Linked DNA regions of Drosophila melanogaster. The protein of the gene in region 1 interacts with the protein of each later gene in a biochemical or structural test. Each region holds a gene or a part of one and is shown on either strand. Other genes may lie near its edges.

What was found.
Region 2: of the proteins of Abl (region 1) and Lar, one has a biochemical effect on the other in vitro, tested with the Drosophila melanogaster proteins (2 studies listed by BioGRID, with this or other methods).

The regions. Positions count from the first base shown.
Region 1 is NT_037436.4:16,643,717-16,651,257, reverse strand, and holds the start of Abl (Abl tyrosine kinase), read left to right. Parts: upstream 1-3,375; 5' UTR 3,376-4,114; coding exon 4,115-4,448; intron 4,449-7,541. Other genes in the region: baldspot, read left to right, coding at 3-125, 676-1,183. UniProt on the Drosophila melanogaster protein: Arm and Abl proteins function cooperatively at adherens junctions in both the CNS and epidermis; critical for embryonic epithelial morphogenesis regulating cell shape changes and cell migration.
Region 2 is NT_033779.5:19,604,754-19,608,353, forward strand, and holds the start of Lar (Leukocyte-antigen-related-like), read left to right. Parts: upstream 1-1,815; 5' UTR 1,816-2,328; intron 2,329-3,600. UniProt on the Drosophila melanogaster protein: Possible cell adhesion receptor. It possesses an intrinsic protein tyrosine phosphatase activity (PTPase). It controls motor axon guidance. In the developing eye, has a role in normal axonal targeting of the R7 photoreceptor, where it negatively regulates bdl.

The sequences.
Region 1 (7,541 bases):
AGCTACATCGAGCAAGATCGCGTGTGCGGCTTCTGGACCTGGCTCTTCGTGCTCAGCAAACTGCCGGAGCTGGGCGACACGATATTCATTGTGCTCCGCAAGCAGCCACTCATCTTTTTGCACTGGTAAGTTTAGCGAAACACTGACTGGGCATCCAAGATCCACTCTTAGAGTAGTCAAAAAAGATGGAGTGATAATATAACATCCTGCAATATGCTCCATCTTTGGAGAAAAGCTACTTATGATGACAATTTGCATCACATGTGGCGGCATCTGCTAGAACTTGTACTCATGTACCATAAGGAATACTGCTGTCTAAGTTCAATCAAAGAGAATTTCCTTATATTATTATTACTAAAAGATAAAAATGCCCTTTCACTAGACAAGCAACACCAGTAAACCAGTAAAAATACGTTTTATAGGTGCAGTGAAGCAATACATATGAGTCATAGCGAATTACTTTTAATGAGATTCACTGACGGTTATTTCGGCATATGAAACTAGCGTTAATTATATGTTAGGCTTAGTTAGGAAATAAAAGGTGCGAATTATTTGTGATATAAGCTGTTTCGATTGATCAAAATGATTTGATTTGAATATATTGTAGTTTCCCTGAGAACGCTAACAATTAACTAAACTTGAACTTTATATTAATTGAATAGTTTTCGCTCACAGGTATCACCACATCACCGTGCTGATCTACTCGTGGTTCAGCTATACGGAATATACCAGCTCTGCCCGCTGGTTCATCGTGATGAACTACTGCGTGCACTCGGTGATGTACAGCTACTATGCTCTGAAGGCGGCCCGCTTCAATCCGCCCAGGTTCATCTCGATGATCATCACGTCGCTGCAGCTGGCTCAGATGATCATCGGATGTGCGATCAACGTGTGGGCCAATGGCTTCCTGAAGACGCACGGCACCTCCTCCTGTCACATCTCGCAGCGCAACATCAATCTGTCGATCGCCATGTACTCCAGCTACTTTGTCCTGTTCGCGCGCTTCTTCTACAAGGCGTACCTGGCGCCCGGTGGTCACAAGAGCCGGCGCATGGCCGCCTCCCTGGCAGCCCAGAATGTGGTCAAGCAGTCGAGCAGCCCCCAGCAGGCCAGCGAGAGCTCCAAGTTCATCGGCGCTGGCGAGGATCAGGCAGCCTATCTGCGCAAGGCCAAGGCGCAGTAAAACGGAGCTCGGCACACCAGCACCTAACTCCCATCATCACCACTCCCCCTGTTTACGGCTAAGGACCTTTATTTATGTAGCGGTGTACAAGTTGTTTTTTAATTTTAAACCTGGGTGGCACACGACCGGTCGGATGAGAGTTTAATTTTGTAAGCCAAAAGTTGTACCGTGTGGACAGGCGTACGAACCATATATCTGAACATGTATATAAAAGAAGAAAAAAACAGACGAACCTAAGCTAACCAAAACTCAGAGTCGAGTCAGAATAAACTCTATGTAATTGAGGGGCAAAGAAGCGAGCGCATGAAAAGCTTGAATTGAAATCTCTAGATCTCTCTAGGGATATGTGAAAGGAACGCAAGGAATTTAGCTGCTCACTAGTTTGCATGCGTTTAATTAATAGTCACTCCTCTTGATATCTCTCGATGTATTTCCCAGCTGCAGTTCTAGAAGTGTCGTTGATGTATAGAATTTATTTATATTTCCGGTGTTATTGACATGCGCCAAATGAATGTTTTGTTTTCCACTAGCCCCTGAATGTATTTCGATATTTGCGTTGTCAGCTATAATTTACCTCTCGGGTGGAATTTTGTGTTGCCTCCCAATTTTAGTTAAAATTCTCAAGAAGGATCAGACTCCTGCCTTCAGTTTGGATATCGCACAGTTTGCGATACTTGAACGACAGGCATTTTTGGTTGAAATTGAATTTGATTTACTGGAGAACTGTTTTCCTAAAATCACTTGTAGTTGGGGTCTGAGAACTTTGTACTTCTAAGTCTATACGCATATATATTTATAAAAACCTATATTAACGGAATATTAAACACGTGAAAACGGAATACCAACCAATAACAAAACACTAAGTTAGTCTATTGTTCCAAGATCCAGAGCGCAAATTGTTATTGTAAAGTAATAAACTGTTTTCAAATCTGTAAGAACAAACAATATTTATAACAGTCGAAAAGACGTCTGATAAAATGTTGCTGACTGACTGGATTAAGTCGAAGCATTGTCATAGTCACCAATAAAATATTTTTGAAATTTTAACATATATTCCAGTCAGTCAGTATAGTTTTAACCAGTGTGTCAGTCATGCTGCAATACAAAAAGTTCGATTCTGTTAGGGGAAGGCATTTATTTAGTTAACCTGTGTTAAATGCATTTGAATATTCCTTCAAATTTCTTGCTGCTTTTTGGTAACTTAACAAAGCCACAGAAAGTCCTTGAACGTAACAAAAAAAAAAAAAAAAAAGAACGTAAAATAATAATAACCAGAGAAAAATTAAATTATATTTATACTTGTAAGCGAACAGAACAGAAGAGATCGCATGTGAAAGAGCAAAACCGAGAAAATGAAAAGCAAAAGTCCTACTTGAAAAGTTAATTTAGTGTAAGCGAGGAAAATGTAACTGAAAATGAAATCGGAGCAGAAGCTGAAGGAGGATCGTGTGAATGGAGAGAAGGATCGATTGATACTGAACTCTAGCAGGAGAGAGAAATTGAAACGAACAAACTTGAAATTTCTGTCGGGTATACATACTAAATAATAACTAAGCAAGAACACTAAAGATTGAGAATGCTAAACAAAACCAACGGATAAATAAAACGTAACAAACGGAAAAGGATGGAAAGTATTGCAGTTGTATTTATTAGTCGGGCTAAATGGGAATTTATGAATACATCTAAAGGCATATTATAAAAACCGTAGCTTGATTATTCGATGTTTTTAAATGTCAATTACATTTTGATTTGAGTCAGTTTTCTCTTAAAATCAATAAACTAAACTAGGGTTGACGCAATAGTCGAAAAAATTCGAAGTGTATCCATGAAAAATTAAAGATAATGTTATAAGTTGCATTGCATTGAAAATCTAAAGAGAATAAACTTTTCCTAGAAAGCTATATCAAGATTCTTTTAATTCAAATTATGTGTTTTAAACGTTTGAATTTAATTTTTTTTTGAACAACCAAAAATTAGTGTTCACAATCATGGAGTTTTTAAGCACTGGCTTACTAAGCTAAGTTAACCACCCAACCAGTCCGTGTCGCGCACCCATCATATTGCATTAGCCGAGTTTCTTACCAAACTAGCGCTGCCAACGCGTTCGTAAGTACTAAGCATTTATTATCAATATCGATACGTCTATCGGTATGCTGCCAAGTAGGGTATGTTTAAACGACCGACAAGCGGTCACACGAGTGCAAGTTGGATTCCAATTCGATCCGTCGCGGTGCGTGGAAAAAATGCACAGATGTAGATAAATCAGCAAGCAACGCTAGCAGATCAGATAGAGCTATATCGTCGCGAAAACCGATTAATTTGCCATGTTCAGCGGATCAGCCTGCGGATCAATTAAACCGTAAAAAACAGAGCAGGCGAGCGTAAGCAAGAGAGAGAGGTGAAGCCAGAGGCGGAGGCGCAAGACAAAGTGCATTTTCAGGGCGTGTTTTTGAGACCCCCCTCGCCAGTTAAGCTCACCCAGCCTCCCAGCCGTCGACAAGAAGTTTGCCGACACAACATTTTACCAACATGCTGCAAATTCGCAATTGCACCTGAGCGGCCACTAGAACAACAAATCAGATAAATCGCAAACTTCCTTTTTCCTCCGTGCGTGTGTACTTCTGTGTGTGCGTGAGTGTCTCCAATCTTTTTTGTCTACTCCAAAAACGCAGAAAGAGAAAGAAAAATGTGTGCGTGTGTGTGTGTGAAATAAATTAAAGCAAAGCAAAAGGCAAAACGGCAAATAATTGAGCAAAAGGCCAAGAGAGAAGAGTTAAAGCTGAAGTATATAACAAGAAAAGCAAAGCAAATAATAAGTAGTAGTAGTAAGCGAATAAGCCGTAGCAGCAGGAGCCGAGAGAAGAGAGAGAAAAGTGTACAAGTTGTTGTTGCTGCGCAAGAGCGAAAAACCACCCAACCACCCACTGGCAAATGGGGGCTCAGCAGGGCAAGGACAGGGGCGCCCACTCGGGAGGAGGCGGCTCGGGGGCCCCCGTCAGCTGCATCGGCCTCTCCAGCAGCCCAGTGGCCTCCGTTTCCCCCCACTGCATCTCCAGTTCCAGCGGCGTCAGCAGCGCCCCCCTCGGCGGGGGCTCCACGCTCCGTGGCTCCCGCATCAAGTCCTCGTCCTCCGGCGTGGCCAGTGGCAGCGGATCGGGCGGAGGCGGTGGCGGATCCGGATCGGGGCTGAGCCAGCGTAGTGGCGGACACAAGGATGCACGCTGCAATCCCACCGTGGGTCTCAACATATTCACCGAGCATAACGGTAAGTTCCTGCAAGTGTTGGAAAACAGGCATCGAAAGCATGCTAAGTACACAGAGCAAAAAGCATATTTTCAAAATTTGAAAGCCTTGTTAAGTCAAATTAAACGAAAAACGTCTGTACATAGTGCACGCTCAATCAAAATCGTTTTTATAAAATTAGGTGTGCACTAAAATTTTGTTTTCTATTCGAAGTTATTTAGTGGTTTGATCATTTTGTGTTTCGATTTCTGTAAGCTTGACTTATTTCTCATTGGTGTTTCTTCTTTTACATTGGATCTTAGAATTATTTTCTTGCACATTGTAGTTTGAGTTAAAAAGGCATCAATCGTAGAAATCATCTGGACCAAATCGATCTGTATAAGTGTTGTGTAACATACATATAAAAGTCAGAGGATGCACAAACATGCATACATTTGGAGGTCCCATTCACTTACACACTAATTGTAAAAAATTGCATGCAGCCTCCAAACTCAGGTGTAAATTCCATCATAGTATTGTGACTTTTCTTATTATACATGGAAATTGTTGTTGCTGTATTGCCAATTGCTCAGAGTTGTGTTATCTCACATCCACCACAATCATTTCAATTCGTGATGAAATCTTTTGATATTCCATACAACAGTTTTTAAGGACATTCAAGAAATCAGTAACTAAAAACTTATTCAATGGGGGTACTTTCAATAAAAAAATGCTTTTTTAAGCGTGCTCTTGCCATTAAATCTCTTTTGTAAATATCATGTAAGTTTTGATTTATCTGCCAGTTTGGGCTGCACAGTGTTGTATTTATTGTTCATAAAGTGCAGTCCACTCGGCTTTCCCTTTCCCCCTCTCTCCTTCTTTATGATCCCCGCCCTTCCTCTATATACGCTGCTTTCCAATTGAGCCAATTTCTTTTTTCCTCCATTTCTTCCGATTATATAGGAAATTATTGTTGTTATTGCCGGCTAGTTTCATACTTGTTGTTGCTTTTCCGCTGCTTTTGTTTACTGGAGAGAAGGAGAATGAATGAGAAAGAAAAGTGAAGGAGAGAAGAGAAAAGAGAGAGAGCAGCACGCGTTGCTGTTGTTTTTGTGCTGCTTGGGGCGGTTTCAATCCGCATTCGTGCTCTCCATCATCCTTTATCCTTCGGCCTTCCTCGTGGCACCCTTATCCCTGCCACCCGCACAGTGGTTGAAATTGCGACCCACAACACCGTTATCCCACCCCCGCTGACATATTGCCATTTCCTCCACTTTTCCGCATTTCCCCTTGCATTTTTCCTGCCCTTCACGCACTCACGCACATTTTTATTTGCCTCATTTTTTTGTCTAATACTTTTCCATTATTTGCCCTGCCAAGCTGCATAATTTTTTCTTTACATCCTCCCCGTTTCCGCATTTTCCGCACACCCACTTATTGGGAGACATTTGCCGTTTCTAATAGCTTTTTTATGTCCATGTCGACGAAGTCCTACCACAATAGGACCCACAATCGGGTGGCATTCGGGATTTTCTCAAGACTACCGGAAAAACATTTGTCAGGTTATAATAGTTACGCAGACTCAGTGGTAGAACTTTTTTTTTAACAAAAAGCATAACTATGTATGAGAATACATGACGAGGGTCGTATTAATAGTAAGGTAGTTTTTTAACTTGAAATCGTGTTGCCTTATTCCCCTGACAATTGCAAGCCATTTTCGCAACAGCTGTTTCAAACTGAAAGTGGACTTTTCCGAGTTTTGATATTTACACGCGCGACAATCTGTTCCTAAATGTATTAAATCCATAAATTTGCTTAAGTTCGAAAATTGAAATTTAATCCTTTATTATTTTACTTTTTAACTTTTGATGTAAATACTTCCTTTTGCAAACTATTCATCTCCCAAACGAATGGCTTGGCCAAAGTATTGATTTTTCCTTGGCACTCCAAGCTGAGCCACTTTTCCCAGATGATTTACAATAAGCTGTAGATTTTTCTTCTTGCTCTTCTCAACTGGAAGCCATTTCTTATCTCGCTCTCGCAGAGGCTTCCGTCTCACCAAGCAATTTGTAATCAATTAATGCTATTTTTATTATAATTAGTCGCTTATTGTGTGCATTAAGTTCAGTCAATCTCTCAGCTGGTACGCTGATAAGCCGGTTTTCATATAAATATTTATTGACGCTACTATTGAGTCATCGCTCCGTGCGATGCAATACATATGTACATATGTATGTGACCATCATCGGAAAACAAACAAACGACATTTTCCAGCTTCGTGCGGTGTTATTTCCCAGAAAAACACAGAAAATTCGCCAACGAAAATGCACATCTATTTGCCAAACTAGCAGAGTCTGTGTGTGTCTCATCATCCAAAAAGGTCGAAATGGGGGCCTGCAATTGCCTTTTTCGTGTGTCTGGCCTGCGAAATGCAATTACAGAATTACAATGTAAAAACGGTGTGTCTGGCTCAGCAGATTACAAGGCAGCACAAATCCCAAAAACCGAAACGGAAAGCCAGCCAGCCGGACTCACCGCAATTGTCAGTCCGGGTGGATCTCGGACTTTTAAGTGGGCGAATTTGGGGGGAAAGTCGCGCTATGCTTCTCCGACTCAATCAAAGTTAAATCCACCCACCACACACGTAACTAGGCACAGTGGGATAAAACCATTAAGTAATTGTTGAAACTACAATATTACAATAGTAAACACATCGTTAAGTATTAAGAACTTGTGTGCATATTGTTATCTTCAAGTAAACAATTAAGGCACTTAATAAATACAAGCAAAGGTGTTAAAGCTCTATTATTTTTAGATTTTTAAATAAATTTGCAGTCTCAAAAATTAAAAAATGGCATAAATTTCTCTTGCTCTAATTAACAGAATGTAACAGAAATAAAAAACAAAGTGAATGAAATTCTTCGGCTTATTACAGTGCTTTAGGCTTTACAGTGCTTTAAGGCTTCTTAAAAGATAAGAAATTAATATGACATTTTTTAGACTAATAATCCAGCTACGACGTAGCAAAAGCAATGTTCAGAAGGCGTAGGCGTTGTGCTAGTTGCCATTGCAATTGCAATTTCATAACCTTGTTGTTGGTCGTAATGCGATACAATGTAATTAGATACTTTGGGGC
Region 2 (3,600 bases), on another chromosome or scaffold:
AGCCGCATAAAAGTAATACATAAGTAAGGAAGTCGGAGAAGTAACAAAACAAAAAAAAAAAAGAGATAATTTCTTTGAGGCGGGATACTCACATGAGCAACAAATGCAGTTCATTGTCGGATCCTTCGTTTCCTTGGCTTTTTCTGTTGGCGTTTCCCAGTTTTTCCCACGGCGACTGCTGTGTCGTTTACATATCGTTTTTTGGCCCTCATCTCCTTTTTCTGGGCCACGTCGCGCTGTCTAAACGATTTACGACACTTTGGCCAACTGCCTCACGCACACATTTGCAATATTGTTTGTTTGTAAGTTTGTGTGGGTTGTGCGCGGGCGAGTGTCTGTGATATTAGCATGTAACGAACACACACACACACACACACAGATGCAGGAACAGGAGTTAACTTGGCCAAAAGGCAACACAAAATGCCGCACACGTTCGTTTTTATTATGTTAAATGTCTCCTGGGGCAGGAACATCAGCATCTGCGAGTTGTTTCCATCTGTTCGGTGGCTTTCTGCCTTTTAGCTTTCCTCCCTTCCTTTTGTCTTCTGACTTTTGGTAACTGTCACTTGGCTTGTTACATTTCACATTCACTTAGACTGCAGGATTAAATCTGGAGCGCGCCAAAAATCTAGCTAGCCAGGAAAATTAGCACAGGCCGTTTCTCGCCTTTTCCTGCTCGGCACTGCGCTGGTTCGCCCTTCTGCGAAATATCCTGCCAGCTCGTCCTTTCAGCCGATTTCAGCTTACTGCCCGCCGCTCCAGTTGAAACTGACGACTGGCGAACGACGGTCAAAGTCAATGGCGGGCTTTTCGTGGACGCGATTCGCTTTTCACCTTCGTCGACGGGCTCGGCGCCTAAAAGCCGAACCTTTCCGATTCACCCACGTCGAAAGCTCGTTTAGCCATCTCACCAGGCTCTCTTCGAGCAAGTCCTTGCTGAGAAGGATTGAGTTGCCTTAATCGCAGATTTGCTTCTCTTTGGTTTCATGTTCTAAGCCTCGCAGGTCTCGAATCTCGAAATTGAGTGAGTCTGTTTTGTTGCCTTTGAGCATTTAAAATGCGTTTACATTTCTCATATAAGCCTGTACTCTTTGCGTCTGCAATTCGAGTCCTTTTTAGTTGAGCTATAAATGTTATTACCCAGCAAGCACTTCACTCTAAGAGAAACATTGCTGGTTTTGCTATAAAAGCACTCAGTGATTATCTCAATGTTAAATAAATTAGCTCGAATCGAGCGAGCAGTGTAAACTGGATTTACCATTCCCATACATTTATAAGAATTAAATAATAATTTTTATAATGCTAAAGAAAATCCCAATTTTATATTAAATATAAAATATTTTTTGAAACTCATGCTAAAAATGATGTTTCGTAATTCCTCTCAGTTTATTTTACATTTTTTTCAAATTTATTTTATGTTATTTTATCAAATATTCCTTGCACTCAACTGTTCCATAACATTTTAAACTGAGTGATTTTTGAATGCTATTTAGAATCACTCCGATTTGTGTGCTCTTAACATTTCCCAGAATGGTTTGTCTATTCGATTGAGTTCTGAGTACAAAGTGAGTTCCTTTTGAGTAGCCATCCTTTGGTGTTTCTCTTCCATCGCTCGCAGCTTCGGCTGGCGAATTTCTCGGCTTTTCCGCTCTCCGGAAAAATCCACCACACTCGGCGCTCGGTCGGCGCATCCTCGGGCACGCTGAAGGACTCTTCGGGTCGAGTGGCGACTCACAAACGCACACACTGAACGCGAGGAAAACACGAGCATTGCTGCTAGCAGCCTTAGCCAATCGTAAAAGTTTTGTACGTATTTAGTACAATTTCGGGATTTGGCAGGATGTAACGAGCGTGTAAGAAACAGAGCGCGTCCTTCTCAGCCGTGTGTGTGCGATAATCGGGCAACAAGCAGCGCGACAGCAAATTGTATATTACACAAAATTCGCAAAAAATCCAACGAATCGTTTGAATCCAATTTCGAGTGATATAACATAACCACAGATCGTACTCGGTTATAATGCAATAGCAAAGAGCCGCAGCATTTCGAAAATCCGGCAAAGTGATTTTAGCCAAGTTAACCAAAAACCAAATCGTCGAACTCCTCGGCTTGCCTCGGTTCAACCCCCTTCAACCCTTTCTCCATTAACTCGTTGTTGCCGCTGTACTCGTACATATGTGTGCACTTGTTTTTGTGAACGTGTTTTGCCGCAAGCCGGTTAAAAAATTATTCCCATAATTACACCATCCGAGTTGCAGGCGAGGAACTTCCGCGAAACATAATTACCGAAGAACAACTGACGTAGCCGATAATACCTGGCGGATAAATCGGTAAAATCTAAAGAGAAAACAAACTCTGAAAATTATCAGAAGCCTGGTGTGTGGTGTGTGCGTGTGACCTGGAATTTCCTTATGAATATCGATATATATATGGACTTTATCCTTATCGTCCTGGCCCTGCTAATAAGAAACGGCAATCCTGTGCCGCTGCTCGAGATGGAGATTGAAACGATTGCCCCGGGGAGAAGGGGATTCCTTCGGTCTCCCCATCCTTTCTTCCGTAATAGTGTCGTTTCCTTTATTTGTCCTTTTATGTTTACCTACTTTTTCTTTTTGTGCTCCGTCGTTTCGTCGTGGTTTGGTTTGGTTTGGTTTAGTTTGCTCGCACACAATTGAAAATTCAATTGATTTACAAAATGAAGTTTACTGGTTGGGACGACAGATACTTTTTATCTATTTTCATTTGCAGTTTTACGAGCGAGCAGCTCTTTTTTCGGCCCGCTCCTTTTGGCCTCAAAGCGAAACGGTTGGCAATTTTTCACAGTTCTTTTTCGATTGAGGTCCTGGCGGGGTTTCCTGCAGTTTGGTGCGAAAATAACGCTGCGTCCTGCAAGGATTGTTGTGGCTGATGTTTTCGCTGCCTTCCGATTCGGGTGTGCCGAGAGTGTGTGTTTGTGATTGGAGCGGCCTAAAATCGTTTTAGGACCAGCTGCGAAGTGATTTTCAGCTAAGGCGAAAAAAGGACTGCAGTGTGTGTCCTGTGTGAGTGTGGGTCTGCAGATTGACATAGTTATGTCCTCGGCAAGTAATGGGAAGTTCTTGGCAAGAGCTCAAGAAAATTTAAGTTTGGCCTGGCCTTGCAAAGCTAAATAAGATTCTATATATATAGGTTGTTTTAAAGCCAAAATGTTTACTAATGCTTAAAGCTGTTCTCAAAATGAAGCATTTTTCAATTGACATTATCTGCTATTCAATATTTTCAAGCGAGTTCCTTATTCAGAGCCTTCTGCTCAATTCTCTAGTATAAAATATTATTTTTGAGTAAATTCTCAATAAAACTTATAAAAGTAAATATTCTGAAAAAAAGCCTTTCCAAGTGTTTTGACAAGTATTTAATATTTTCGTTGTAGAAACTCGTACAACACAACTCAACCTAAAATGTCTTTCACCACTTGCCTCAAGGAACTTTCCTCGTTTTTGGTGTCAAGTGTTTTTATTAGAAGCAGAAGCAGAAAGGAGAAAAATTGCCGACGAAGGGGCGAAGTAAAAATTTTTCCTTTCATTCCTTTTTCGATCCAAACTTGAAATGAGGTTTGAAACAAA